4 linked regions of the Arabidopsis thaliana genome follow. The protein of the gene in region 1 interacts with the protein of each later gene in a biochemical or structural test. Each region holds a gene or a part of one and is shown on either strand. Other genes may lie near its edges.

Region 1 (7,751 bases):
TCTCACACCCAAAACCTCGAATTCCCCAAATTACCCTCGCCTCCCGGTCATCAGATCCGCGGTGTCTCGTAACAAGAAGGAAGAGACTGTCGAAGCCGTCAAGTCTCACTTGGAGAACTGCCATCTCCTCGCCGCCATCAACTACAAAGGCCTCACCGTCAAGCAGTTTCAAGACCTCCGGAGAACTCTCCCCGACACTACAAAGCTCATCGTCGCCAAGAACACTTTGGTCTTCAAAGCCATTGAAGGCACCAAATGGGAAGCTCTCAAGCCTTGTATGAAAGGCATGAACGCTTGGCTTTTCGTCCAGACCGATGAAATCCCTTCTGCTATCAAACCCTACCGGAGCTTCCAGAAGGAACGCAAGCTTGAAAACAATGACTTTGCCGGCGCTGTCTTCGAAGGTAAGTTCTACGCTCCTGACAATTTCAAAGTCCTCGAGACCATGCCCACTCGTGCTGAGGTCTACGCTAAGATGCTCGGTGCTCTGCAATCTCCGGCTATTAATCTCGTCACTACTTTACAAGCACCAGCAAGAGAGGTTATAATGGTGCTTATGGCTTACATTAAGAAGTTGGAAGATGAGAGTAATGCATAGTTAAGCTTGTACTAATCTTTTGGAGAATGTAATGTACGCAACAAAAGGCAATTCAATTTTTTGTTTATGACTCTCTCAAGCACCAATTGTTATTACAGTGACTGAGTTTTATTGAAATGTTGTTTTTCGGAGTGCTCTCAAGCTATCATAACGGTCTTGTTTAGATGTACTTAGAGAGGATAGATTCAACAACTCCCTGAGCTATGGGGTGATAAGTTTCTCGAGCTTCTGCAAACACCTGTTTTGCCAGCTGCTTCTCTTCTGTTCCACCAGATTGTGCAAGAGCAGTGAAGAGTGGACGCAGGTACTTCATCCTTCCTACCTCTTTTAGTGTTTTCTTCACTTCCCCATGGTACTCTCTGCACTTGGATGTGACTGCAAGTTGCAGAAACGAGACCTTCACTTCATAGTCTTTCGATTCTGCCAGTCTGTACCGCTTGTCCAAGGCCATGACCTGATTCATCAATGAGCAAAGTGGGTGTTAGCCATAGGTTTGAACCTGATCACCAATCCTTCCTTTGTTGACTAGCATTGTCATTAACAAACAAGATAAGATCCTAACTCTTGCAAAGCCAATACACTTTCCACAATCATGAACTCTCCCAAAGCCAAGAGGGTTTTTCCACAATCATTATTCACTAGCCCCACATTAATCCAAGAGTAACTATTGAGCTAACCTAACTGACAGTTAGTTAGGCCTTTTTCTCCTCCTTATGTAAGCTTATTGAGTAGTTCAACCTAAGTCAAGCCATTTCCCATTATCTTAGAGGAAGAAATAAAGATTCACTCAGCAAGTACAGCTCCAAGTACAGCTCCCATTAACTTAGAGGAAGAAAGGAGTAAAGAGTACCTGAGAAGGTTCACATGATTTAGGAAGATTCTCCAAGTACAGCTCCCATTCCTGTCCGTTCCACTCAGCAACATCATCCTCACTTGGCATCTTTCCTTCCTTAAACTCTTTCGCCAGGGATATGATCTTTGTGTAAATGGTTGAGACTGGTTCATATGCATCCTCTGGTATACCAACGCCCTCAGTCCACAGCTGTAGATTGATCTCTTTCTCTATGCCAGGGATGTTTGCTTTCAGGAATTCAAGAAATGTGTTTGTATCGATTGACTTGAACTTGAAAGTAGCAATGTATTTCTTGAGGAATTCGTCAAAAGCAGTTCTTCCAATCTGAAAGTTTTCCAGTAAATAGATGACCATTATTGTAAACATTACATAACAAAACACCTAAGCGAAGAGGGCAATTCAACTAACCTGGCGTTCAATTCGCAACACAAATTGGAATCCTTTTTCATATGGGACCTGAGAATATACATCATCTGGATCAACACCTTCTTGTTTGTTCCACAGTTTAGTGCACTCCAAGTTGTCCTTAAACCGTTCCATTTCATCAGTTAAACCCCTCCAACCAATGCCAATGTTCAAAGTAGCTATATCCGCCCCTTGAACAACCTCCACAATTCTCCTCTCTGCGTAAGTTGTAAATCCCTATTGCCATGAACATGAAATAAACACTTTCCCATCAACAAGGCAAACTCTAAAAACGGACACACAGTTACACATCCTAATTTGTAGCTAAAAGAAGCAAAAGCACAAGACAATTCAAAGCTACCTCATTCAACCAGAAGTGTTCATTGTTGATATTAGTGATCAAATTCCCAGTCCAGCTATGTGCGAGCTCGTGAGCTACAACTTGAGCTCCAGTGGCGTCTCCTTTGATAACAGTAGGCGTCAGGAAAACCATTCTTGGATTCTCCATACCTCCATAAGGAAAACTCGGAGGCAGCACCAGTAAGTCAAATCTCTCCCACTCGTAATCTCCAAACAGCTTCTCCCCTTGCTTGATCATATCCTCCGTTCCTGCAAACTCCAGAGCAGCCGCATCTAGAACTTCAATGGCGGCAGATTCTGTGTATACCCGAGTCCTAGGTCCAACTTCCCGAAACCCTAACTCACCAACGGCAAAAGCAAATAGATAAGGCGGTATAGGCTGTTCCATAGCAAACTCTTCCACAACTCTATCCTCACCACACCACAGTGACGACCCCAGCGACCCAGCCTCGAGATGTTTAGCCTCCTCAGGAACCGCAAGCCTACGACGGACGTGGCGAGCCGACATGACGGCAGAGAGCGAATTCGGTATGTTCATAACGACGTCGTAACGGATCCTCGCGGCAGGAGTGTCCTGGCATGGGAAAATGGATCTGGCGTGAATCGCTTGACACTGCGTGTAGACATAAGGATGCAATTTGGAGAAAGTTTGAAGCGGCGAAAGCCACTGGAGAGCGGAAGCAGAAGGCGAAGTGGAGTAGACAATTAGCAGTGAAGATTGACCGGAGAGGACTACGACAACTTCGGTGCCCCGAATTCGATCCGGTGTGGTGGAGACGGAGTAAGGGATAGGCTCGAGAGTGAGAGGATCGAGGACCATAGCAATGGAAATGCAGCGAGTATCAAGAGAGAGTTCGCCGGAGAAGGCGGAGGAGAGAGTGAGGAGAGCGGAGCCATGGATTATGGAGGTGTTGAAATCGAGGTAGAGGGAGAGAGCGACATGCGTGGTGAGAGGATGAGAGGAATCGGTGAAAGAGTGTGGATCAATGGGTGCCATTGCTGAGTGAGAGAAGCTTGCTTAGGGTTTTGAGGAAAGGGGCAGTTAGAGAGGTGGAGAAGAGAGTATAAAGCGGGAGAAAAAGAAAAAATGAAGAATTGTTGTTCGATGGTACCATTTTATGATGATAAATAATGTATTTTTGGAATAATTTGGTTAATGGAGAATCATTTAGTGCATAAAGTTGAAACCGTTAGATATTAAACGGCGACTAAATACAATGTTAAACCCAAGTTGGATGAACCAAAAGCACACCAAGCCACCAACAATCCTGAGATTTTTAACAACCATCTTTTTGGGCTTGAGCCTCTATTGAGCTTCAAGTTTTAGGTCCATGAGTTATACACTCACACGAGTAATCTACTTAGCAACAAACAACGAGTTTACATTTTGGTATTGGTGTCAGATTTATCGTCTCATTATTTGGTGAACTCTATTACAAGATCAAACAATCTATTTGTTTTTGCATTTGGCTCAAAAGCTACTTGGTAAAAACTTCGCCAAAAAAAAAAACTCTCAGTAAAAATTACAATTATTTTTTCCTGATGGTTTAAGTTGTTGATGACAACAAATATAAAATCTGATGGTTGACGATTACTACTATTAGGAGAGTCAATAAACGGGTTCGAGCACAAGTGCTGACGGCACCCACCCGTCAAAACCGACGAAACCAGAGAGCCCTCGAGACTCAACCCCAAATAAAATTGGAAAAAAATGAAAATAAAAATAAAAATGATGATATAAAACCCTGAAGAAGAACCTTTTTCACATTTTTCTTACAATTTTTATTCTTGCTTGCTCGTGTCTGATTTTTCCCAGCCAATTTTGATCTACCTTTCAAAAATTCCACCTTTTTCTTTCTTCTCCATGGATCTGTTCTTCTCTCCTTGATCTGGATCGACTTTACTGAGTTTCCTTCCCCCCCCCCCCCCCCCAGATATGTTCTGAGGAACTCTCTCTACTGAATTGATTGGTCTTTCACTCCCTTCTTACTCTTTGATCTCGCGACCTAAATTAATTTAGGGCTTTCTCTTTTCGGAGCTCTCATGGTTGGGAGAGTCAAGGTCCCTTGTTGTTCCGTGTGCCACACGCGGTATAATGAAGATGAGAGAGTTCCTTTATTGCTTCAATGCGGCCATGGCTTCTGCAAAGATTGTCTTTCCAAGATGTTCTCTACTTCTTCCGACACAACCCTCACTTGTCCCCGGTGTCGCCACGTGTCTGTTGTTGGGAACTCTGTTCAGGGTCTCAGGAAGAACTACGCTATGCTTGCTCTCATTCACGCCGCATCCGGCGGCGCTAACTTCGATTGCGATTACACGGATGATGAGGATGACGACGATGAAGAAGATGGTAGTGATGAAGATGGAGCTCGTGCCGCTCGTGGATTTCATGCCTCAAGCTCGATTAATAGCTTGTGTGGTCCAGTGATCGAGGTCGGAGCTCACCCGGAGATGAAGCTGGTGAGGCAGATTGGGGAAGAGAGTAGTAGTGGTGGTTTTGGAGGTGTGGAGATGTGGGATGCAACTGTTGCAGGCGGTGGTGGACGGTGTAAGCACCGTGTGGCGGTGAAAAAGATGACTTTGACGGAGGACATGGATGTTGAGTGGATGCAGGGACAGCTTGAGAGCTTGCGGAGAGCATCCATGTGGTGTAGGAATGTTTGTACTTTCCATGGGGTTGTGAAGATGGATGGATCTCTTTGTCTTTTGATGGACAGGTGCTTTGGGTCTGTTCAGTCTGAGATGCAACGCAATGAAGGCAGACTTACTTTGGAGCAGATTCTAAGGTTCCTCTTTTGCTTCTCTTATTCTTTTTTTTTGCCTAGTATCTGGCTTTTACTGTGATCGTTTCTGTGCTTAAAGTCTCAAACTTTGATAGCCTGTTCCCTAATTAGAAATTACTGGACTAGACCCGACTTGGTTTTTTGTGATTGCTATTAGAAATATATATTGTAAGTGCACAGTTTTTCAGATTCTAGTGAAACAAGCAACTAAAACCTGGTGTCATTTGCCAAAAGGGCAACTTGTAAGATAACTTTAGTTTAGATGTTCTTAAAAAGCTAGGCACGAATTATAGTAGTTGTCATCTCTCTTTGTCATTACCAGCTGCAGCTACTTTTCATCTGTCAATGCCTCAATAGACAAACATTTTTTGGACTAGTCCTTTCCTTTTTAGTAGTGGATCCTTGAACCTACGTTTGCAAGATATCTTTGAGAAAGCCCTTTACATTAGTATGCTTCCTTCTAAAGTATATGACCAGAAATCATTTTTCAACGAACTGACATATCAAATCATGCAAAAAATTGTACGAATTGTTATACATTAATTTATCAAAGGACGCATCATCTAAAGATGATCCTTATTTTGTTGTCCTGGTTCTAATATTACCTTCAATTCACTTGTTTGTATTTCCTCCTATTTTCTGTTTTTAACTGAATTGCGTCATTTGGGACTATTAAATGTAAGCACTAATGCGTAAATGAGTGTTTTGTATTCTCCTTTCATATCGTGCTCATGTTGTTTTAAGTTTACAACTTAGAATATTCCTTCAGTGACCAACATATGTATTATTCCATTGCTCTTGTTGTGATATTAAATTTTACCAACTGTAGATATGGGGCTGATGTTGCTCGAGGGGTTGCAGAACTCCATGCAGCAGGTGTTATCTGTATGAATATAAAACCTTCCAATCTTCTTTTGGATGCAAGCGGCAATGCTGTGGTTTCTGATTATGGGCTCGCTCCCATCCTAAAGAAGCCAACATGCCAGAAAACTCGACCAGAGTTTGATTCCTCAAAAGTCACTCTATACACGGACTGTGTAACACTCAGTCCACACTACACTGCCCCAGAGGCTTGGGGACCGGTGAAAAAACTTTTTTGGGAGGATGCAAGTGGTGTATCTCCAGAATCAGATGCATGGAGTTTTGGCTGTACGTTAGTAGAGATGTGCACTGGATCCACTCCGTATGTGAAGCCTCTTCCTAGTTGATATTTCAGTTGTGTTTTGTGTCTGCCATTGTACTAACTGTCACTTAATTTTACAGGTGGGATGGTCTTAGTAGAGAAGAAATTTTTCAAGCTGTTGTGAAAGCCCGAAAAGTACCACCACAGTATGAACGCATAGTGGGTGTGGGAATTCCTCGGGAATTATGGAAAATGATTGGTGAATGTCTTCAGTTTAAACCGTCGAAAAGACCAACCTTTAATGCAATGCTTGCTACATTTCTTCGTCATCTACAAGAGATACCACGTAGCCCTTCAGCAAGCCCTGATAAGTAAGAGTTTTAAGTCCCTAAGATTACTTAGTTTTATGGTTTCCCTGTTTTCGTTGCTTGTCAGTAAAGAAGACCCTTTCACTTGTGTTAAGATTAATATTAGCACCAACACCTAAGATTATTTTTGTCATCATGCCTATATTCCTTCGCCTAACAATAATATAAACCATGTATGATGTAGTGGGATTGCCAAAATATGTGAAGTAAACATTGTACAAGCACCTCGCGCGACTAACATAGGGGTCTTTCAGGATAACCCTAACAACCTACATCGGGTTGTTTTGGAGGGAGACTTTGAGGGTGTAAGGTTAGTATCTGTTAGGAATTCTAGTTAATCCTTTTGTTCGCACTAGCTATAAACAACCTGTTCTCAACTACATTGGTTTGATTTTTGTTTTGGAGTAGAAATATACTTGCAAAGGCTGCAGCTGGAGGCGGTGGAAGCTCTGTGCGATCTCTATTAGAGGCGCAAAACGCTGATGGTCAATCGGCTCTTCACTTAGCTTGCAGACGTGGCAGTGCTGAACTTGTGGAGGCTATACTGGAGTATGGGGAGGCTAATGTAGATATCGTGGACAAAGATGGGGATCCTCCTCTTGTCTTTGCTTTAGCAGCTGGATCTCCACAATGTGTTCACGTTCTCATTAAAAAGGGGGCTAATGTGAGGTCCAGACTGCGGGAAGGATCTGGCCCATCTGTAGCTCACGTGTGTTCGTACCATGGCCAACCTGATTGTATGCGTGTAAGTCTCTGCTCCCGAGGAAGCTATCAGTCACTTTAAAGCTTCCACAACATGATCGCAAATCTTCCACTTATGTGAAGTGTATCAGATATTATGCTTGTCTTATATCTATTATCATGTTAATAACTATTCTCTGCTAATTGGTACTATCAATAGGAATTGCTGGTAGCTGGAGCCGATCCAAATGCAGTGGATGATGAAGGTGAAACTGTGCTTCATCGAGCTGTTGCCAAGAAATACACAGATTGTGCCATTGTTATATTGGAAAATGGGGGATCTAGATCAATGACTGTTTCAAATGCGAAGTGCCTGACGTAAGTACAGAAATGACCTCTTTCTATGCTAGGTAGACGGGACCATAAAATTTGGCACGGATAGATTACTACTGGGCCATTTTAAAGCAAGTTCTGTTTGGTTTTATTTTGTAGTTCTTATACTCCTATTTGCATCTACATTATAACTTATTTTGAGCATTGTATGTGCTTAAAAATGTCTACTACATTAACCTGTTTGGAT
Region 2 (8,194 bases), on another chromosome or scaffold:
AGATTGAGATTGGAGATAACTGAGAAACTATGTAGGTGCTTGTTCCAATTGGATATGGGACGGAGGAAATAGAAGCTGTTGTGTTAGTTGATGTTTTACGGCGAGCTGGTGCTGATGTTACTGTTGCTTCTGTGGAGCAGAAGCTAGAGGTTGAAGGATCCTCAGGGACCAGATTGCTTGCTGATGTTCTTATCTCGAAATGTGCTGATCAAGTTTATGATTTAGTTGCTTTGCCGGTAAGTTCCTCTTTTGCTGATTCATAAACTATAAGTGAGGACAGTCTTTGAGCTTTACTTTAATGGTTTTGTGTATTTGTTTCTGGATGGTCTGGAAATACAAATTGTGAAGGGAGGCATGCCTGGTGCTGTTAGGTTAAGAGACTGTGAAATTCTCGAGAAGATCATGAAGAGACAAGCTGAAGATAAGCGGTTATACGGGGCTATATCCATGGCTCCAGCTATTACTCTTCTTCCATGGGGACTTTTGACAAGAAAGAGGGTATAAATCAAAATCTTTGATGTCATCTAGTAACTAATCTTTTCTCTTCATGTTTTGATTTCTAAACTTGGTGTAGTTCATCGTGCAAGACAACGGGACATCCTGCTTTTTTCGGGAAGCTTCCTACATTCTGGGCTGTTAAGACAAACATTCAGATTTCAGGGGAGCTTACAACTAGCCGTGGACCCGGCACTTCTTTCCAGTTTGCTCTTTCCTTGGCGGAGCAGCTCTTCGGAGAAACCACAGCCAAGTCAATTGAAGAGTTTCTGGTCTATATCCTATTCACTTATACTTTTCTGGATCATGCTTTTCTTTATCCTTCTCGATATGCAACAATCTTCTCATAGTCTTCTTTTCCAATCATTTCTCCAGCTTCTGCGTGATGGTTACCAGAATCCTAAGAACAAAGAGTTCAATAGCATTGACTGGTCTTTAGACCACACACCTCGTGTAAGTCGCATGAAGCTATGATCAATGCATTTCCATGTAATCTCATGATATATGATGAGAACTGATCTTGGTTTTATCTTCTATACCTATGGAGTTTTTTCTTTTATCCATTCCTTCTCCTTTCACGCTCAGTTAGTTTTGAAAGATGAAAAAGTTAGCTGATTCTAAGAACATTTCATTTTAGTTTGAAAGCTGAGAAACTTGTTTTAATGATGCATCTAAATCCAGGTTCTTATCCCGGTAGCCAACGGGTCTGAAGCGGTTGAACTGGTCTCAATTGCAGATGTTCTTAGAAGAGCCAAAGTAGATGTCACGGTTTCATCAGTTGAACGATCTTTGCGGATTACGGCATTCCAAGGCACCAAAATTATCACTGACAAATTGATTGGTGAAGCTGCTGAGTCATCATATGATCTAATCATTCTTCCGGTAAGGCTTTAAGCAAAACCCTGCATGTCCTAGTCTCATAATAAACTCATACCATTTCGCTAGTTTACTTCTTCTTAAATAAATCTTGCTATGTACATGTTTCAGTATAACTTATATGCCATGTCAAATCAATGCGCTTAGGAAAAGCTTTTAGACAAACTACAACTGTTGGTTGTTCCATGGTGAGTAATATGATTTCTTTTCTTTGATGGAAATTCCCAAGGGAGGCCATACTGGCTCAGAACGTCTGCAGAAGTCCAAAATTCTCAAGAAACTGCTCAGGGAACAACATGAATCTGGGCGAATATATGGAGCTACCAACTCTTCATCTACCGTTTTGCATAAACATGGTTTACTCAAGGTAAGGTGAAGACAACTATTGTTCTTTTCTTTGTCATATACATGGACAAACGCCATAAACAATTGGAATCCTATTTTAGGAGAAGAGAACGACTGTGTATCCTTCAGAGTCAGACGAGCCTATGAATCAACAAATGATCGAAGGAGCCGAAGTTGTTATAGATGGAAACGTGATTACAAGTTTGGGGCTCGCAACTGTTACCAAATTTTCCCTGGCTATTGTTAGCAAGCTGTTCGGACATGCTAGAGCAAGGAGTGTTTCAGAAGGGCTTGTGCATGAGTATCCAAGGCAGTAACCGTTTGAAAGCATCTTGTTCAAGAAACACAGTTAGAAGATGTCTCATTACTGATCTTAAACCGAAGTATAACGGTCCGATGGTATCAAACCACCTCAACTCCAGAGACTTTTCACAAGTATCATCTGTTCAACGTTGATGCACCTTATCCTGAAGCGGGATGCTATCTGCAAGAATTTTGCCAATTTAGTATGTGTATCTAATTTTGTACGCCCAGTTGGATTACCAGATGTTGATGCTAAACTTGATGTTTACTCTCTTCTATAATAAAGGTGTTGACTTGGGCCCAAATGAGCTAAAGAAAAAATTGCAGACAAGATACAAGATAAATTCACTCTGGTTAAGTCACAAAGATGTTCAAGACAAATGATAAAGATCCATTACATCAGGAAGATAAAACCAAAAGATTTAGGAAAATAGAACAGATATGTGTTTATCTATCTCTGTCAAATCCGCCACACTTCAAGATTTACAATCACCCACAGAACCTGCCTAAACTACGTACAAAGCTAGCTTTCTATCTTCTGAGTTGTTCTATAACTTCGGCGCTTTGTTGGGTTCCTTAGACGCCATTATAAGCTCTACCAGGGACCCGTCAATGTCCTTCGCAAGCATTGCCTTTTGCATCCCATTCCCCATGGCTGGCGCAGAGGCTCCAGAAGCTGCAACAACAAATGAGCCAACTTCCGTTAAATCCATGCTCGTCAGATTAGTCTCATGAAATATCCAAATTGGCATTGCAACATATTCACAAATCTTAAATACTTTATGCAGAGTGGGAAATCAAAAATGTGATGATATGTCTCACTTCATGGTATAGCTTACACTATTCTACTCAAAAGCTTAGAATACTGTCCAAAAGTGTAATTCATTATGAGTGAGAGTTAAAAGCCTAGCCAACAACCATAGAGGATATTCAAATCAAGACAGTACCTGATTTTTCTGCTTTTCCATGATTTCAACCTGCATGAAACATTTGGTCAGTGAATACAACCTCAAGAAAATATGAAAATCTCGAGATTCTTAATTGTGATAGGGAAGAAGCGAGACACACTTGTTTCTTCTGCAACTCTTCATTCAATTCTTTGAGTTGCGCAATTTCTGCTTCCAGTTCCATCGTATAAGCCTGTCAAGCAAGAAAGTGAAAAAGTAAATAACATGGTCACAGTTTTAAGGTTTCTTTAATCTCCAAAATTTAAACAAACACTCACTTGCTTGCGAGCGCGGGATCTTGCAGCTGATTCCCTATTCTTTATCATCCTTTTTTGCCTTCTCTCAATCACTTTCTCCAGAACTGCACCTGTTTTTCTCACTCGCCCAAACATGTAAGGAACAGGGGACAAAGATGCATCCAGGGCGCTCTTTGGAGTCAGATCAGGTGACATCTGGCTTCCAGGAGATACTGCTGCAACCGTTACTCCTGTTTTAAAATCGACAGCTTGCAGTAGATTGTTGTTCATAGGATGGTTATGAATTCCAAGTATTGAAGGCTTCACTTCCTGGCACTGCGAAAAAAGTAAAAACAAGTCATGCTCAGATAACTGAAACATACATGCATATCCAAAACCAGCTTATCTTAAAACATGAAGGCTACGTCTAATATTTTTCAGATGATTGTATTTCCTACAAAATGTAGTAGCTTAGGTTCTTTAGTCACCTGTGTTGCAGGTTGAGAACGGTTAACCACATCAACAGTGTTGGAAAATGCTATAGTGGTCTGTTTGGGAAAAGGCCTCTCCTGCGTCTGTATCAGTTGTTGCGGCTGCTGCACCATCTGTGGCTGCTGCACCATCTGTGGCTGCTGCATCTGTAGTGGCTGAGTTTGAGCAGTCAGCAGATCCTGTCTCACCGCTACTCCATTTCCTGACAAATCTTGAGGTTGGTTTGCAACAAACCCATTACTAGCTGTCCCAAGACCTCCATTACTGCCAAATCCATAGAATCCGCCATTGAAGTTAGTTACACTCTCCACCGGTTGAGGTTCTTCCCTAACCACACCAGCCCTGACCAAAAACTCCTCCAAAGTCATCTCTCCCAGCGTTTGTTGCCTCTGCGGAATTCCGCTTGTCCCACCATTAACAACACCATTTCCAATGTCATCCTCCTTCATCAGCTCCTTCCAGACATCATCAACCCTTTTCTGACTAATCGTCCGAGGCAAGGTAAGTGAACCTTGTCTCTGCAAACTCCCACCAGTGAAAAAACCACCACTTTCTCCTCCCACACCAACAGCTAACCCACCAATGTTGTTACCACCGCCGTTAATAACAGTGTTTCCACTATTACCATTGCTGATGTTGGTGTAACTGGTATTGTTTCCCATCATTGAATGACTTTCCTCTGCAGTCCAAATGTTCTTCAAGAGCTCATCCATGTTCATAGACCCAAAATCTTTCCCAATTCCACCACCCCATGAGTTCTGAAACTCATCAAAGGTTAACGAGAACACAGAGTTCTGCCTAGTCAATGGAAGACTAGTCCCCACCGTTGGCTGCTGCTCACTCACACCATCAACAAAGCTCTTGAAGTTTAATCTAGACCCCATTACTCAAGCTTTCGTACAACTAGGAGGATCAAGCTTCTGGATATTTACCTATAAGAAAACAAACAAGCAGAGAGATTATGGTTTAATTATACATACATCCATAAATTCATCAACAAACGAAGAATCTAAAAAAGCACTGATCTTTATCCAGTTTTAAAGTACCAAAATTTAAGAACCAAATCCAAAGCCGTGAGACAAAATCAGATTTTTATCAGTTCCAAAGCTAAACCCAAACAAAAGATCTAAATGAAATATAAGCACAATGAAGTCAAACAGAGCAAATGGTGAAAATGGAAAGGAATCTCCTTTTAATCAGTAAACAAATCTCCAAAACACCCAATCATATGCTTATTATTCAGCGGGAAAAAAAAATCATGATTCTCTTCGAATCAGTGAATCTGAACAAGAAAACCAATCAGTAATAGACAACAAAAATCGATTCATCAAACCAAAAAAAAAAAGAAAGAAAAAAAATGAAGCAGCTCAGTCACACAAACTAACAAAAAAAAAAAGGAAGTTTTTTGTTAATTTTCCTGACCTTCGAATTTATTTTTTTTCTTTGGAAATGGAAAATCAATAATTCCTCTTTGAGAAATAAAAGATACCTGAAAGGGGTCAGAGCGAGAGAGATGGACAAGTGTCCATGGCGTGACACTCGTCGTGATATAAAAGGGTTGGTTTCTTTTGTTTGGATGCGACTATTATTTTATTCTCGATAAGGTTATTATAGTATTATGCCAATTTGACGTCAGATCGTGCGTGAGCCGTAGAGATTGGGCAACGTGGTCCAATTAGAAACGCCGCTTTTTCTTTAAATCATTATCGATACATTTGCGTTTCCCACCAATAAAATTTCGCAAAGTGGAAGCATTTTTGGCCGTTTGATTTCCTAAACGGCGTCGTCGTTTACGAGACCAAGTACTACTACTAGTACTACATCTTGGAACAAATTATCAAAATATTCTTATAACTTTTTTTTAAGGATAGATAACCAATAAAAATTAAAATTGATGCATTCATTAGCAGTATAGTAATGAATACGAGATTCGTTGATCCGTTATTTGAGTAACAATCTAACGTAGTGTTCACTAACACTTACTTAGCTACCTAATAAAATAGGGATCACACTTTCATTTCTTGTAAGTTGATGCACCTATTTGATCGAATGGTATGAAAATTTGGTTGGAAACAAAATAACCAACGTTATTCCATTCAAGGGAGCGCATTATGGAAAAAAAATTATGATACGATAAGATTTGTAAGAAAAAATAAGAAACAAATGGAAGAAGGGAATGGGTGAACAGTCCGGAATCTTTATCACGTTTGCTGCACCTACAAAGGGATGGTCATTTGCCACGTGGCGCACTCAATGCCTGCCCTCTTAACAATATTTAAAAAAGTTGAAATGAAGCAAACATACAATAAAATTATGATCTTGTGTGTTGATCTTCACATGGTGATTGTGATCTTGTCTTCAACTTCTTTATTTTATTACACCATTATTGAGACTTCTTTACATTTGGACTCGGTACAATACAAGTGACCCTTCGTGTCTCCCATCTTTTATTTCTATTTTCAATCTTTTTATATTATTTTTTCTTTAAGAATCTACTGGATTAGGAAAGTCTACTCTGCAATACATACTAGTATTAAACAAATATGGAACCGTGATTTTGTTTAATGTTATCATATAGAATTCACATGGGACTCGACGACTCTTTTGAGACGTGCTCTTTCCCGAATTAGATTTAATTAATTGAAGTTACTTCTTTAAGGTCGTGTAGAAACAAAATGTATAAATTATAACCACCTTTCAAGAATCCAAAACTCAAAACCAACGAAAGTACGAAACTATAACAACCGGAAGAAACAACACACAACCGAAATGCTAAAACGTTGTTAACAAAAACAAGTTTAATGTGTAACTTTTTTTCAGCTAGGCTAAAATCCTAGAAGGTTAAAAGATATATAACCTTTTTTTAACAAAAAAGAGAGAGTTTAATATGTAAGTTGCAACAACAGGGTAAGTTTGAAGAAATTTACTTTTTCTTAATTCCATGGTAAGATAATAACAAAATTACAAAATAATTCTTACAATAACAAAATTAGATCAAAAACCTAAACCACAATAAAGAAAAAGAATGAAACCTTAGTGTCATGCCCATATATATTTATTACTTTCTATGTGTCTAGAAGACCTAAAGTTGTTAAGAGTAGTTGAACTCTTAGAAAGAGGTCCATTGATTGGATCAAAAAGAAGACCTCACGATGCAAATTAAAAAAACAAAAAACAAATAAATTATGATTAGAAGAAAGCTTTGAGGAATGAGTTATGAGGCATAGCATGATGAGGACATTCAGCCCAACATCAACGTTCGGCCCAAACGTCTGCGCAAGCCCAATCCAAGATACGATTAAGGACTTGGTCATGACTTGACTAAGTCTCTCGCATTTCTGTTTCATTGCTAATAATGTGGAGTATTCCACTAAAGTCACTTTTCCATGATTCCATGTTTGTAGGAGTTAAGCTCCATGATTTGTTTCAAGTTGTTGTAAGGAGGTGAACTCCAAGTATTTATATAAATGAAAAAGCCAAAAAGAGGTAGTCATTATTACCCAAATACAATCAATCTTAATTTGTTATCTTACAAATTCTCTAAGCTTTGAAGAGGGACCATTATAGCAAGATTGTGAAGTCTAATAAACGTATTATTCCTTTGATTTGTTTTTTAAAAAGAACTATTGTCATTTGTCATAGTCAAATGCATGTGAAGTGAATAGCCCGAATAATGTGAGCACGAAGATTTGTTTTGCACCTCTTAACACGCAATCCAAATCACGTGGATCGAAGGTTTTATTGTCAATTATTGGCCCTGCTTGAGCAAACGTATGCTAAAAATACGCTTCAAGTGTACAAACAAACATACTTTTGGTTCAGATCATGTGTTTCCCTCTTGCAAGCCATTCTCTATTGGTCAGTACAAAAAACTCCGTCTAGGCGTCTAGCCAACGGCTATATATTTGGGCTTAACCAAGCTACCAAACTATTTGGGCCTTATTGGGCTCTAATCTTACTCGTCTTAAAGTTTAGTGCTTTAGACCGCACGGTTTACAAAACCAAACCGGGTTCAATTAAATTACAAACCGCAATCAAAGAAGAAAAGCTGACGGCCGTCGCTAAACCCTCCGGCGGACTCTTCAATTCACCGTCGAAAATCACCAACCCGATTATACCATCTCTTTTAGTCTCTCATCTCTACTTCTCTAAGCTAACCGAAACCTTTTGGTGGGAATCGTCGAAAGTTTTCAAGACACCTGAATTGCATGTATGTTGAGGTATATATATAAATGTATAGATTTTCTCTGAGTATTTCTCTTCTTCCCTCGAAAATTTGATGAAATTTGGAACCTTTTCACTTCCCAGACAAATTCCAACCTGCAAAGGTGGGCGCTTTACACGAGTTTTGCAATCTATCGGATCAGTTATTAGAGAATTTTCAGCATCTGCAAATGCTTTGCAAGACTGTTGGAAAAATGGGAATGAAAGTAAAGAGATTGATGATGTTCACACACTTTTCAGATATTGCACTAATTTGCAATCAGCCAAATGTCTCCA
Region 3 (7,000 bases), about 12 Mb from region 1:
ATTTACCACTCAAGTCTACTGTATCTACTAAAATGAGAGGTCTGCAGTGAGGAAACCCTTCAACTGACTGCTGAAACGCCCAAAACACAGAACGAAAGGATGCATTTTTGGGATCAGGAAAAAGATCATATTGCCATTCCAAAAGCATCTTGTTAGATGAGCCAAGGGCAGCCATGAACTTGGGCAATACGCTAAAACTCTTGTCCAAATCTCCCAAGATTGCAGAGATCGCTTCCTTTTTAGCCTTCCACATATTAGCATACGAGACTGTGTAGCCAAATGCTTCTTTCACCCAATTGTTCAGCTCTACAATTGAGAGCGAGGGCTGAACCTTTACTAGACATTCAATTTCACCTGCCAGGAAATCTGAGCCCACATCTGCTGGCTTACAAGCATGTGGACCTGTGTATTCTGTTATCTTGAAGCCATTTCCATTCGTTTTAGCTGCCTTGAGAAACCATCTACAGTAGTTCTTGCACCCTGATTGAAAGGTACCCGTAATGGGGATTTCGAATACATTGTATTCACGTTGCCTTCTATTAGAGTACAACTTCACTGCTTTCGCCAGCTCATCTTTACCTCTAAAAATCATCCCAACATGCAACTCACTTTCATCGAGCCATGAACTAGAGAAAATCAACTGCTTCGAGACACTATCACTGACGCCTTCCGTTAGAGTTGGCTTTTTCATTTTCGAATCCTTCTGTGCGACCCCATTATCACCAGAGTTTCCGACATCCGTACTCTCCTCATCTTCAATCCAACCATTATGGTTATCCTCCGGAGGACTTCCTAGTTTAGTATTTCTCCCACTCACATTTACATCTGCATTGACACTACTAGCATCCTCTTGCCGATAACGCTTTCGGGGCACATTACTTTCCAATGGGGACTGATGAGATATAGAAACAGTAACTTCATCAGAAAACGGTTTGATCTCTAAATACACCTCCAGACTGTTGATAGATGGATGGTAGCATGGTACCTCAAGCATCATCTCCAAACTACAATCGTCCACAATGGGCAAACGCACATACTTGACCATCTGTTGTTGAACAATGGAAGGGTACCTACCAATCAAATCAATCTGAAACTTTCCCTTTTCAAAACCAGTAAGTCGATGCAGATCATCCAACAAATTGGATAGTTCGATTTTGCTATCAACTCTGATCCCTCTTGGACTTGACCCTTCATAGAACGGACCATCAGGACCATCTTTAATACAACCATTCCAATAGCAGAACAACGGAATCTTTCTTGTATCCATGAACACCACAAAACCTTCAAATAGAAATAAACCCTAAAGATTAGGTTTTTTTTTGTTGTTGATGCAAAATGCGACATATATGAACTGTGAGTGAGGTTAAAGACTACAAATTTGTACTTAGCACTGTGAAAAATGGTCACTTTGCAGAAGAGAGTTTTTGTAATTTTACCTTTTCTTCCGCCGCCGGCTTCGGTGACTTCGTCGGCAAAAGACAACAGTTTGGTAAAATGGTCTGTTCTTTTTTTTCTCGTAGTTAACGACGGTGTGTCTACGAGATAGTGATTATAAGCTACATATTTGTGGTAAAATAAAATATTGGGAAAGAAAACAAGTCAATGAATATTCCTGACAAAGAAAAAATGAAATGAACAACAACACAATGTTTCTCATCACTCACTAGTAAATAAACTTTAACAAATAACCTTCAAGCTTTAGAATTCCATCTTCAAATTTCAGATAAAGATGATGATAATAAAACCCATAAACATATATAGTACAGACGAAAAAGTTGATATTTTAGACATTTTTATTAAAGTTAAAACAAGAAGAAGAAAGAAACAGACATGAAAACATAAACAGGTGCTGAAGCATACGAATCTTTGTTTAGCCCATGGCATACTTCTGAGTCCAGTTTCTTGCAGTAGCCTCGTATTTGGCTCTGTCGGTTTTGTACATGTGTGCAATCTCTGGTACCAAAGGGTCATCTGGATTTGGATCTGTTAACAGCGAACATATCGAGAGCAACACCTACCAATTGCATAAACATTTCCATTAAAACAGCTAAAAACTAGAGATGATGATCTTACTACATACACAAACATTCAAGAAGCAAAGCTTGTGCATTGAGCAAAATCCTAGCTGAAAATGTAGATGCTCTTGCTATACTTTTGGAACATAAACGAACATTGGAGAACCGATGTTTCTGAAAAATGAGAGTCACCTTGGAAATGGTGAGGGCAGGGCTCCATTGTTCTTTCAAAATGTCAAGGCAAATGCTTCCGTTGCTGTTGATATTAGGGTGAAACACCTTCGTCCTAAATGCAACCTGCAAATAAAAACAAAACAACCAATAAAAGTGTCAAGATTAAGCCAAGAAATTGATTTGATTTGGGGGCAAATACAAGTTTTAATTAGGTCCAAGAATTTCAAGGAACTCTACTAAACCTAAAGTTCGTGGTAATCTAAGAGTTGTTCCAATATTGAATACCTTTGGTGGTTTGAATGGATAGTCCGGAGGGAAGTGAATGGTAACGAGAAACACACCGCCTGAATACGGACTCTCTGCAGGACCCATAATTGTAGCTTGCCAATGAAACATGTCTTCAGCAACTGGACCTGCAAAAACTAAAACATAAGCAAAAAAAACACCACAAACCAAAGAAGGATTCTAGTATTCTACATTTCTCAACTCTTCTAACTCTGATTAGTCTAATAATTAGAGAAAAGTAGAAACTAATAAACTGAAATTCATCATAAAATCTTAAGATAAACATAAGCCAAAACATAAGTAGACAACACCACAACGCAAAGAAGGATTCTACATTTCTCAACTCTGATCAGTCTGAAAAGTAACTTTCACCTTTGTGATCTCTAGAATGCTAAATCTCTGGCATATTACCAGATAATCATAGATAAAGTAATGGATCCAACAAGAAGGAGAAAGATTTGAGATTTTTGAAGTGAACCTGCACTGCAGGAGGTTGGAGGGTCTTTCTGGAGATCCTTCAGCTCCTTCAAGATCCGTTTCGAAGCCATTTTCTCACTGAGAAACCCCTACAAAAAGTAATCCAAGTTAAACCTAGATCAATCCAGCTCAAATCCAGAAACTTTTTCTAATCTGATTGAATCGAACAAGAAGAGACGAGCTTTTTGAATTCCTACAAAAGAAGAGAGCTTTTTCTCGTGTGGGTTAATCAAAAGGAGAAAGCTTTGATACCTCAGAAAGAATCCTCCAAATTTGGTTTTGCGATTCACTCCTGCAGATGATTGGAAGAAAGCAAAACGAAAGAGAAAGTTTTGGTTTTTATGCTTTAAGAAACGGAAGCGAATAATTTAATTGGATAAACTATGATTTATTTTAGTAATAATGGCTGCTTAAGAAATATCTGTAAACATTATAATTTTAAAATACTATCTAATTTTTTTAAGAAATTATAAAGGGTGGGCTATATTTGATTTGACCCCACTTAGATTCCAAATGATTCTGAATCACGATGAATTTTCAATTGTAAAATTGTCCTCTTTGGTACATATTTGATATTTCTCTATTTCTATAGCCAAGTGTAGAGATATGAACGGCTGATTATATTTTTGTAAAAAATAAAAAATGAAACCAGATAACCAATCATAATTAATGAAATTTTATCTAGTTTTTGTGACATGATTATTTTAAATCTCTATCTCAAACTAATGTTTTATGATTCTAATTTATCCATACTAATTACATTTTATCAATAGAATGTAAATTTTATTTTGGAAAAAAAAGAAGTAAAATATCTTTAAATTTTGTAATCTCACAATAGTTGAATGTCATATTATGCGAGTCATCATGTTGTCATAGTGGGATTTGTATTACTGCAAATATCTAATGAACAATAATCAACGAATTAGTTATGGACTAATGAAAAGATAGGATATGCATTAAGATAAACTGGATTTGGTGAAAATTTAATAAGATAACTGGGTTTGGTGAGAGTGCGAGACTATTTGGCTCGGTTCAGTTTTATTCCAATTTCAAAAATTCCAATTTGGCTCGGTATAGTTCGGTTTATATCAGTTTCTATATTTCAATTTGGGTCGGTATAGTTCGGTTTATGTATTCATTCTTTTTGAGATGCGCAACAAGCTCTCACCGTTTCTCCTCCGCCGCTACCACAATTTGCCGTGGCCATGGGAATTCTCAGATGAGAACAATGAGAGCATTAATCGAAAGAGTCTCTCGTCTTACTCTGTGATCAATCTCTCGAATTCTCCTTACCGATAGATGGAGACGGTGTTTGCTTTTTGGGTTGTTTTCCGGTGATCGCATCTTCAATCAGTGGTGGTAATGGAATGGAGAAAGTTTCATCACGGAGATATGCTTATCTGGAAACTCTTACTCATGAGATTAAGATGAAGTTTACACGGGTTTGCCTTTCTTTTTAGTATTTTTTTCGCAAAAGATCGATTTGTGTCGATTGGTTTTGATTTTGCCCAGAAAACACTATTTGATTTCTCTAATTCGAGACACATGCGTTAGGTTATCGAATTTTGATATCCTCAATGAATACTTTTGTTTCAATTTTGAATCGTTACGGTTTCCGATTAAAATCATCTTTATCATGCAATCCACAGGTTGAGATTGTACCTGGTCTCTTGCTTTTTAATCGGAAACTATGAATTATGAATTCCAGAACAAACACACTGGGCTGATTTGGAGGTAGACGAAAAAGAAGAAGCATGTTGGGCCTTGGGCCTCTTAAGCAGGTACAATGAAAGCCCAGCCCAGCCCAAACCAAAACATTTCCTTTGATTGTTTTCTATAAATAAAACGTAGCTTAGGGTTATTTACTTTACAACGTATTGCTTGCGCTCAACGGACTCTTCCCGGAAAGAAGACATAAACCCCTTTAAACCTCCTGCTTTCATCTTCTCCGTGATGGTCAAATCTAACTCCCAGGGTTTGTTTTTTTGGTGGTTTATGATCTCTTATCTAATGTTGTTTTATACCAACTTACTTGGTTCTAAGAAGTTTTTGCTACTCTTCCTTTAGGTAAGCGTAACCCGCAATATGGTTTGGAGGCCAACCCAATTCTCAAGAGACATAAGAAAATAAACAAGAAGAAGGTAAACCTCATATGTTCGGATTCCTCTTCTTCTTTCAGACCAATTTTCTTTACTCTGCCTTTTTCTAATTGCGGCTACTCATGTAACAACAGGTGACAACGAAAGCTATTGCTTTTAGTCTCCAGCAGAACGACTTGTTGGTGACAAAGTCTGATCAGGCTAATTTAATCTCAGTCAAGGTTTAATTTTTGATCATTATAATGTTGGACTGTTTGTTACATGTATTGTACAAGTTTTATGTTCAATTAAGCTACTTTTTTTCGGTTTGTTATGCAATTTAAGACTTGCCTGTTAATAATCAGGAAGCTGCAGTAAGAGAGAAGACGCTCTTTGTTGCCAATCTCCCTTATGAAACTAAAATACCAAATATGTAAGTAGTACCTTTAATTTCCTCTGTTCTCGGATCCAGTTTTTCATGACTAATCATCTACTTTTGCAGCATCGATTTCTTCAAAAAGGTTGGAGAAGTTGTTCGTGTTCAACTTATTGTAAACCTCAAGGGTAAGCTTGTGGGTTGTGGCTTTGTTGAGTTTGCTTCTGTTAATGAAGCAGAGGAGGTGAGGGTTTTTTATAGTAATGATGAAAAATTGTACGAGTAGTTATTTGAAAGTAGGATTGCTGATTAAATCTTTTTTGTTGTAGGCGCTGCAAAAGAAGAACGGTGAATGTTTAGACAATAATAAGATTTTTCTTGATGTGGCTAATAAGAAAGCTACATACCTTCCACCCAAGTAAATTGATTTATGTAACACTGGTTTTAACTCATTGCTAGAGTTTTGATGCCATTACAGTAAAGACTAACGCCAATATTATTTTTTTGCTAATTAGGTATTGCATAGATCACAAGGTTTGGTAAGGGATTATACTATTTGCCTTTTGAGCACATTAGGTGAAGTTTTTGGTATACGTGGAGAGATCACAAGGGTTTTTGATATTCCAGGGACAAAGACTACCGTAGACTAGAAAGCCATCCAATAGAAGAAGATGAGAGACCTCCTAATTCTGTTGAGGTACCTGTTCTTATTACCTTCAAAATAAGTCATGCTTAATAACAGAACTGTTGCCACAAAGTCGAAAGATGACTTATTTGGGAATGAGTCTTCAGATGAGGCTACTTTTTGTTGTTATGCAATGAAAATCTTTTTCTCCTTACAAATCGTGCTAACACACTTGGTTGTTAAATTCAGGAAGTACTCTTTGTTGCCAATCTTTCTCCTCAAACTAAAATATCAGATATGTAAGTACTACTTTTAATTTCCACTTTCGTTCTCGGGGCAAGTCTTTTCATGACTGATATTCTACCCTCCACTTTTACAGCTTCGATTTCTTCAATTGTGTTGGAGAAGTTGTAAGTATTCGACTTATGGTAAACCATGAAGGTAAGCATGTGGGTTATGGCTTTGTTGAGTTTGCTTCTGCTGACGAAACAAAAAAGGTGAGAGTAGTTTTGTAGTAATGATGAAAATTGTATTAAAAGTAATTTGAAAAGTAGAGTATAGTTATTTGAAAATACGATAGCTGATTAAATCTTTATACGATAGGCACTGGAGAACAAGAATGGTGAATATTTGCACGATCATAAGATTTTTATTGATGTGGCTAAGACAGCTCCATACCCTCCAGGACCCAAGTAAATAGACTATCCATGTTTTGGAGATTTTTTTCTGTAACACTGATTGTAACTTATTGCTAGAGTTTTGATGCCATTACAGAAGACTAACCATATTATTTTTGTTAATTAGGTACAACCTTGTAGAGAAGCTTTGGTAAGGGATCTAACTATTTTCTGCCTTGTGTTTTGTTATCAAGAGCACATTGGGTGAAGTTTTTGATATACATGGAGAGATCACTTACGGTTTTTGATATTTCAGTTACGAAGACTACCTTCGACGAGAAAGCCTTCCGATA
Region 4 (7,721 bases), 430 kb from region 1:
CATACTTCCTTTCATATTCCCTATCTTAGCTTGACCAGAGATTAAAGCATTGTATGTAAAATCGTCAGGGCGCATACCTCTACTCTTCATCTCACTCAGCCATTTGTCCACTTCCTTTATTAGCCCAGCATCAGAAAGACCTCTTATTATAGTATTATAGGTTGCAACATTTGGGGATATTCCTGCTTCCATCATCACAGAATATGTCGAAAGAGCTTTTCTTACATGACTGCCTACAAAGTACCCGTGCATAAGGGAATTGAACGTCACAGTATCAGGAATAAAGCCTCTCGCTTCCATATCCCCCATAACCATAGCTGCCTTTTTCGTCATACCTAGTTTGCACAGAGTTGCAATAAGAGTGTTATAAACTTGCCGACTGAGTTTAATCCCATAACTCAATAGCGTCTCATGCGTTTTGAATATAGCATCAGCTCTTTTATGCTTCGAAGACGTGTCAAGAAAAATCCGGTATGTCGTTAAGTTAGGATGGATCTCCATAAGCATCATTTGATTCAATATGTGAATTGCTTCCTCCATTTTACCGTTTTCGCATAGCATTCCAACCACAATATTGCAACTCATCAGACTCGGTTTTATTCCACAACTCTTCATCTTATCCCAAAGCTTAAGGATACCTTCCGAATCCCCTTGCTTTCTTTGTGAATTCATCATTATGTTAAATGTAGCAATATCTGGTTCTATACCCTTCTCTCTCATTCCTTTGTAGGCCCAGTCTGCTCCGACTTTGCCAAACTTTAACATCCCACTGATTAAGACATTATAAGAAACAACATCCCACGGCATCCCTCTCTCTTGCATTTCTTCAGCCCAAGCAAGAGCAGCTTCTTCGTCTCCTCCTTTGAAGAATACATCAATTAAAGATGTGTAGTTAATCTGATCCAGCGTCACTCCTTTAGATACCATGTCTTTGACTAATCCCTTAACTTCCTTAATCCTACCAATTCTCTTCAAGTGGTTCACCAGAGCATCAAGTATGTAGTTGTTTTCCTCCACCCCAATCAGCCTCATTTCCTTACTCAGTTCAATTGCCATTTCTTCTTTCCCTGCCTTAAACAAGCCATCAATTACTGTACCATAAGTAAAACCATTCGGCACAACATTTTGGTCCTCCATTTTTCTCAAAAGACTAACAGCTTCTTCGAGCATCCCTTTCTTCACATAGCCGTTTATCATACTAGAGTATGTTACAACATTCGGAATAACACTTTTCTCTAACATCTGCGTTATGATAAATTCTGCACTGCTTAAATCCCCCGCTTTGCACAACCCATCAACCAAAGCCGTATATGTAACCACATTTGGAACTTGGTTATCTTCCAAAAGCATCTTAAATGTTTTCTCAGCCTCCCTAAGGTCCCCAGCCTTAAACAGACCATCCATCAAAACAGTATATACAACTAAATCTACAGGTATCCCACGCACAACCATCTGACTGTAAAGAGCCAAAGCATGGCGGTAAATATTTGCTTTAAATAACGAATCAACAAGAGTAGTATAAGTTACATGGTTCGGATATACACTCATCTCCTCCATTTCCCGCAGTAACAATCCCCCTTCCAGCACTTTTCCACCTTTGCACAATCGGTTAATAATCGAACTAAAAGTAACAACATCCGGATCAAACCCACTCATAACCATATCCCTGTATGCTTCTTCAATAGCATGGAGATTGTAGTAGGAGCTTAAGAGTATAGTATGAGTGATAAGGTTTAGTTCCGAGATTTCGTCAACTAAAGCCTTAGCTCTAACAAAGTTTCCAACTTTACAAAACCCATCAATCAGAGTATTGTAGCTAACCGTATCAGGCAATATACCCATCTTCACCATCTCAGATAGAAACTGATAAGCCTCATCAGCTAAACCATGTTCACATAAACCCGAAATCACAGTGTTATAAGTAACAGTATCGATGCTGATTACTCTATTTCTAAGTAAACTAATTGCAAAACTCAAACGACCCACTTTGCAAAAAGAATGAATCAATACATTGAGAGCAAAAACATCGGGAGACACTCCACAAGCTATCATCTTGCTGTAAATCAGCGATACCTGATCGTGTACCAAACCATTGACATTGAATTGATGAATCAGACTGTTCCATAGACGCGAATCCGGAACAACCCCGAAAGTGCACATCGCAGAGAGCGTCCTTGCTGCTCCGTAGAGTCTCTCACAGCTTAAATAGAGCCGAAAGAGAGTATGGAAGAGAGAGACGTAAACTCTAGTCTTGATAGGAGCTAAATCTGGGTCGAATCTTCGTTGTGTGATCGAGAGGCTAGTCTCTTCGCTTTCTGGGATTTGGGGTCGTTTGATTGACGAGAAAGAGCGGCAATTTGAGAGGAAGAATCTGTATTTACCCTTATAGTTATTCCAAATCCTTATCATTATCATCAGCAGATAGATTGGAGTTCATCTAAATCTCCAAATTTCTCCAGAGACTCCTGCAAGCTCTCATGGCGTCTGCTTGTGACGACGCATCGTTTTCCAGGTGAACTGAGAAAAAGAGTTTCGAAGCTCGACGACGAGGTTTAAGTTCGGTAATACCACGTCGTTTTAAAAGACTCAATAATAACGGCCCTAAATACATGGGCTGTTTTTGGGCTATATCTAAAATAAGCCCAACATATTAACGTTTAAACATATTTCATACATTTCGGAGATAAGATTTCGGAAAAATCTATTTCACGACGCTATTTCGGAGATAGATTAATAATGGGTTAAGTTGCAAATTACTCACTTTTCTAAATTTAATTTGAAAAGTAGTCACTTTACTATTCATAATTTGCAAAATAGTCACTTTTCACTGTTTGATTCGTACACTTAGATTGTACACCATTTTTAGTGTACAGATGTATATAAAAAATACACAGCGTACACTTTACATTTGTACACTAAAAGTGATGTAATCCAAGTGTACGAATCAAACAGTGAAAAGTGACTACTTTGCAAATTATGAATAGTAAAGTGACTACTTTCCTAATTAAGTTTGAAAAAGTGACTATTTTGCCAATACACCCATTAATAATAATGCGATGCTATTTCACGACGTACTTATCCAAAACATATAACGTTAACAAACAACTAAAGGGACCACTATCATTATTGCATTTTAGATGTTAGTATAAATTGAATTATTATTATATTTGTTGGAAATTTATGTAAATACATATGTATTTAATATTTATCACCTGTTAGAAAATATGTTAAAAAAGGATTTGATTTATTTTTTGTTGAAGAAGAAACATGATTTCTAAAATATTTGGAAATCTTTGATTCTGGTTTATACACTTTGTATCAATGGAAATTTGGTAAAATTGGATTTGTCAGTGTGAAAATATCATGGAGAGGAATCAATTAAAAAGGAAAAGAACCTTACCAAAAAGAAAGAAAGTAAAAGAATATAACTAAATAGACATTACAGTCAGCTTTTCTAAACAAGGAAAGGATAGACTTATACATGAATTAGTAACTATTTCCTTAGAATTCAAGGATTTTTTTTGTCTAACAGTACTTGTCAAGTAACATAAGTACGATAATTAAAGTCTAACGATGATGTCTATGGAGCCGTCTTACACGTGGCACAGCTATTCTGGTCCGAAGAAAAGGATGATTTGGTGCAGGTGCGTGAACATTTCGTCCTATATAAATCCTCTCATCTCCAATTACTGATTTCACACAAAACAAAAATCGACCAAAGAGTAACCAAATTGATATTTATCTCTTCTCAACCATGGCGATGAGACAAGCCGCTAAGGCAACGATCAGGGCCTGTTCTTCCTCTTCTTCTTCGGGTTACTTCGCTCGACGTCAGTTTAATGTAATAATTCTTTCGATCTCTCTCCTTTTTCACGATTAAGGTTCTAAGTTGGTGATATTTATAGTTTCTCAGAGTTTTGTGTGGTGATTTCGCTTGATTTTACTGTTTGCGGTTGGTAACGTTTCCGATTGTGTGTGGGATAGATGTTTTTGGATCTTTGGCCTTATGATTTTGAGGATATGCAAATTTTGGTTTTGTAGAACCTATTTTGATTTTGTTGTGATATGATCAGACTGACTGTGCATGACTGAAACGTGTGACTAAAATTAGGAAAGCACAACTGTCGTTTCTGATTAGGCCAGCTAAAGTTTCCATAATGGAACCCAACTACTACATGGTGTCTCTTTTTGTAATAACTAAACGGCACGATGTTTGATATGGGCTTCTAAACGGGCCTGTAAACGTTTGGGCGTTGTATATAGTTTCAAAACAGAACAGATTAGTGTCTTACTGTAAGATGTTGTCTCTTTCAGTGTAATGGGAAGACGCACTTTTTGATGATTTTTCAGAGTTTTAGGTAGTTCTTACATGCGTCGGATCTTTTCTTGTTCTTATATATGTATTCATGTTTCTTTGAATCGGGTATATGTTAAAATTTAAATAGCCTTTTGAACTTGCTTATGAAACAGGCATCTTCTGGTGATAGCAAAAAGATTGTAGGAGTTTTCTACAAGGCCAACGAATACGCTACCAAGAACCCTAACTTCCTTGGCTGCGTCGAGAATGCCTTAGGAATCCGTGACTGGCTTGAATCCCAAGGACATCAGTACATCGTCACTGATGACAAGGAAGGCCCTGATTGCGGTAAGTATTTTCCAATCTAACAAGTACTTGAAGAGATTCAAAATCTTTAATTCTGTTTTTCTATAGCACAAACTATAAATATGAATGCAAGCCTCCTTTTGATTCAACTCTTATTTATTAATGGCAGAACTTGAGAAACATATCCCGGATCTTCACGTCCTAATCTCCACTCCCTTCCACCCGGCGTATGTAACTGCTGAAAGAATCAAGAAAGCCAAAAACTTGAAGCTTCTCCTCACAGCTGGTATTGGCTCGGATCATATTGATCTCCAGGCAGCTGCAGCTGCTGGCCTGACGGTTGCTGAAGTCACGGGAAGCAACGTGGTCTCAGTGGCAGAAGATGAGCTCATGAGAATCTTAATCCTCATGCGCAACTTCGTACCAGGGTACAACCAGGTCGTCAAAGGCGAGTGGAACGTCGCGGGCATTGCGTACAGAGCTTATGATCTTGAAGGGAAGACGATAGGAACCGTGGGAGCTGGAAGAATCGGAAAGCTTTTGCTGCAGCGGTTGAAACCATTCGGGTGTAACTTGTTGTACCATGACAGGCTTCAGATGGCACCAGAGCTGGAGAAAGAGACTGGAGCTAAGTTCGTTGAGGATCTGAATGAAATGCTCCCTAAATGTGACGTTATAGTCATCAACATGCCTCTCACGGAGAAGACAAGGTACCACAGCTACTATCAGAAACAAAAAGAGACGAACACTAACTAGATTTTGTTTCTGAGATTTGACCAATGGGTTCTTGTTTATTCAGAGGAATGTTCAACAAAGAGTTGATAGGGAAATTGAAGAAAGGCGTTTTGATAGTGAACAACGCAAGAGGAGCCATCATGGAGAGGCAAGCAGTGGTGGATGCGGTGGAGAGTGGACACATTGGAGGGTACAGCGGAGACGTTTGGGACCCACAGCCAGCTCCTAAGGACCATCCATGGCGTTACATGCCTAACCAGGCTATGACCCCTCATACCTCCGGCACCACCATTGACGCTCAGGTTATATTGTTTTCCTTGAACCGTTACACATATCATATGCATAAATTTCTCTGGAAACTTTTGCTAACGAATGAAAAGGTGTTGTTTTATCCAAAAAGTAATGTTGGAAATTTGGAACTAAAACATTTTGTGTGATCAAAATTTGTAGCTACGGTATGCGGCGGGGACGAAAGACATGTTGGAGAGATACTTCAAGGGAGAAGACTTCCCTACTGAGAATTACATCGTCAAGGACGGTGAACTTGCTCCTCAGTACCGGTAAGCTTTTGAGGAGGTGACATTGGGAAGATGATGAGAAACGACCCCAACGTTCAAGAAAACAAATAAAGAAGTATTTGGACTTTGCTAAGTCGAATGACTTGAGTCATCTTTTGGTTTAGTTTTTGTTATTATATAAGCACAATAATAATAGGAGGGCACTTCCCCTGTTCTGAGAGTTTGTGAACATATTACTCAGTGGTTTAAATCACACATATGTATTTGTTTCCCCAATCGTAGGAACTCAATGGTTTCAAATCTCATTATATAAACATAAAAATGAATAAAGGCATATTAAATTTGTCTAAAGAAAAGTGTTCTTGTTATTAGGACCTAGCTCTATCAGATTTTGATGCACACACCGACAATGGTGTAACTACAACATTACGACAATATTTGAATCATTGTATGGAACGTGGGTCCATATTTGTATCAATATTTAAGTTCTTAACAACTATATCAATTATGAATCCCATATTATTATATGCGTATTTAAAACTATAGGTCTATAATATAAAGAAAACTGTTTTCATATTTTCTCAAGATGGGAGAAGCGGGTGTGGGGATGCTAATCATTCGATTTGTAATTTGATCAAACAGTGGTTAGAGATTCAGATATGTTGACAGCCAACTTCTTGCCTTTTTCCAAATCTGCCCCTTCCCCCACACTGCATTATCTCACGTGTATGGTTTTTCCTCATCATGTTTTATAAGTTTTTGATTCACAACACAAGCGGAATGATGAAATTTTGATAAAAGATATGCATAGCATAGTTATGAAAGAAAACTAACTAAAAATGTTAAGAATAACCATTATATATGTAGAGTCCCATTATATTAGAGTCTTGAACATAGCTTGTGATTTCCCCATTCATTATATAGTATGGCTGATTACAACATACGAAAGATTAACATATGTTATGTTATGTAAAGATTAACATAGTAAAGATACGCATAATCGCAACGTTATTTCGTTTTGAATATATCACCTTATGCAACCTGCTACTACCAAATATTATTATTACTAGATTTTAACCTGCGGTATACCGCGGGACAATTTTTTTTTTTATAAGTAATATATATTAAAACTTGCAAATTTTATTTTTATAAAATATTGATATTTTACAGTTTATAATTGTTATTAAGTAACGTTATACCACGAATCCATGAGACAATTGTTAAAAAACTGAAGTTTTAACCCCTATTAAAACATCATATTAATAATATTTTAATATTTTATAAATATTGATTCAAATACATCCACCATATAACCCAATTCCAAAATAAAACCCGTTCTTTAATTTCTTTATCCGTCTCGTTATTTTTTTTTCAAAGTAGTAATTTTTAAATTTTAAGAATTATTTTTTATATATAAAAGTTTTGCAAATTGTATCATTCTCTAATATATTTAAATTTTATAGTTTAATTTTATATATAGTAACATTATACATACCACATAACATTTTTGGTTTTATATAATCTTTTCTAAATTAGAATGATTTGATATGTTTAATATTAGTGATCTTAAAAGATAACAAATTAAAGATTTAACTCGTATTGAAATGGTGGATTAATTATATTTTACTTTTTTATTAATGTTGATTCAAAAACCCGTCCCTTCAAATCCGTCTTGCCAAAAAGCAATTTATTTTATTAATATTAATTTTATTAATGATATGACTCTGAATTATAATCTAAATATTTTAGCTAATAACATAGAAGTGCACCATATTTATTTAATAGGAGAATGTACCATATGACCCGAATGCACTTTTACCCCAATCCACCAAAAAAACAAATATATTAGTTAGCTTAAATTAGTT

Evidence for each region.
Region 2: of the proteins of KEG (region 1) and ABF3, one has a biochemical effect on the other in vitro, tested with the Arabidopsis thaliana proteins (one study listed by BioGRID).
Region 3: the proteins of KEG (region 1) and UBC8 form a complex in vitro, tested with the Arabidopsis thaliana proteins (one study listed by BioGRID).
Region 4: the proteins of KEG (region 1) and FDH form a complex in vitro, tested with the Arabidopsis thaliana proteins (one study listed by BioGRID).

The regions. Positions count from the first base shown.
Region 1 is NC_003076.8:4,341,359-4,349,109, forward strand, and holds the start of KEG (protein kinases;ubiquitin-protein ligase), read left to right. Parts: upstream 1-3,843; 5' UTR 3,844-4,259; coding exon 4,260-5,002; intron 5,003-5,828; coding exon 5,829-6,182; intron 6,183-6,262; coding exon 6,263-6,493; intron 6,494-6,674; coding exon 6,675-6,800; intron 6,801-6,898; coding exon 6,899-7,235; intron 7,236-7,391; coding exon 7,392-7,549; intron 7,550-7,751. Other genes in the region: EMB3136 (Ribosomal protein L10 family protein), read left to right, coding at 1-598; AT5G13520 (peptidase M1 family protein), read right to left, coding at 759-1,052, 1,449-1,775, 1,860-2,093, 2,218-3,213. UniProt on the Arabidopsis thaliana protein: Mediates E2-dependent protein ubiquitination. Acts as a negative regulator of abscisic acid signaling. Required for ABI5 degradation, by mediating its ubiquitination.
Region 2 is NC_003075.7:16,292,392-16,300,585, reverse strand, and holds ABF3 (abscisic acid responsive elements-binding factor 3), read right to left. Parts: upstream 5,253-8,194; 5' UTR 4,579-5,252; coding exon 3,691-4,578; intron 3,539-3,690; coding exon 3,245-3,538; intron 3,160-3,244; coding exon 3,088-3,159; coding exon of another isoform or gene 2,997-3,087; coding exon 2,967-2,996; intron 2,696-2,966; coding exon 2,615-2,695; 3' UTR 2,301-2,614; downstream 1-2,300. Other genes in the region: DJ1C (Class I glutamine amidotransferase-like superfamily protein), read left to right, coding at 36-236, 349-498, 588-767, 871-948, 1,177-1,377, 1,601-1,738, 1,818-2,033; EMB2758 (Tetratricopeptide repeat (TPR)-like superfamily protein), read left to right, coding at 7,974-8,194. UniProt on the Arabidopsis thaliana protein: Binds to the ABA-responsive element (ABRE). Mediates stress-responsive ABA signaling.
Region 3 is NC_003076.8:16,672,094-16,679,093, reverse strand, and holds UBC8 (ubiquitin conjugating enzyme 8), read right to left. Parts: upstream 3,253-7,000; 5' UTR 3,204-3,252; exon of another isoform or gene 3,041-3,203; 5' UTR 3,023-3,040; coding exon 2,959-3,022; coding exon of another isoform or gene 2,953-2,958; intron 2,612-2,952; coding exon 2,475-2,611; intron 2,313-2,474; coding exon 2,208-2,312; coding exon of another isoform or gene 2,073-2,207; exon of another isoform or gene 2,015-2,072; coding exon 1,871-2,014; 3' UTR 1,585-1,870; downstream 1-1,584. Other genes in the region: AT5G41690 (RNA-binding (RRM/RBD/RNP motifs) family protein), read left to right, coding at 4,905-4,926, 5,019-5,092, 5,185-5,271, 5,395-5,462, 5,532-5,649, 5,735-5,823, 5,921-5,944, 6,033-6,102 and 5 more. UniProt on the Arabidopsis thaliana protein: Accepts the ubiquitin from the E1 complex and catalyzes its covalent attachment to other proteins. Mediates the selective degradation of short-lived and abnormal proteins.
Region 4 is NC_003076.8:4,773,289-4,781,009, forward strand, and holds FDH (formate dehydrogenase), read left to right. Parts: upstream 1-3,444; 5' UTR 3,445-3,754; coding exon 3,755-3,841; exon of another isoform or gene 3,842-4,338; coding exon of another isoform or gene 4,339-4,358; exon of another isoform or gene 4,359-4,445; coding exon of another isoform or gene 4,446-4,470; coding exon 4,471-4,645; intron 4,646-4,772; coding exon 4,773-5,313; intron 5,314-5,402; coding exon 5,403-5,640; intron 5,641-5,788; coding exon 5,789-5,902; 3' UTR 5,903-6,238; downstream 6,239-7,721. Other genes in the region: AT5G14770 (PPR repeat protein), read right to left, coding at 1-2,415. UniProt on the Arabidopsis thaliana protein: Catalyzes the NAD(+)-dependent oxidation of formate to carbon dioxide. Involved in the cell stress response.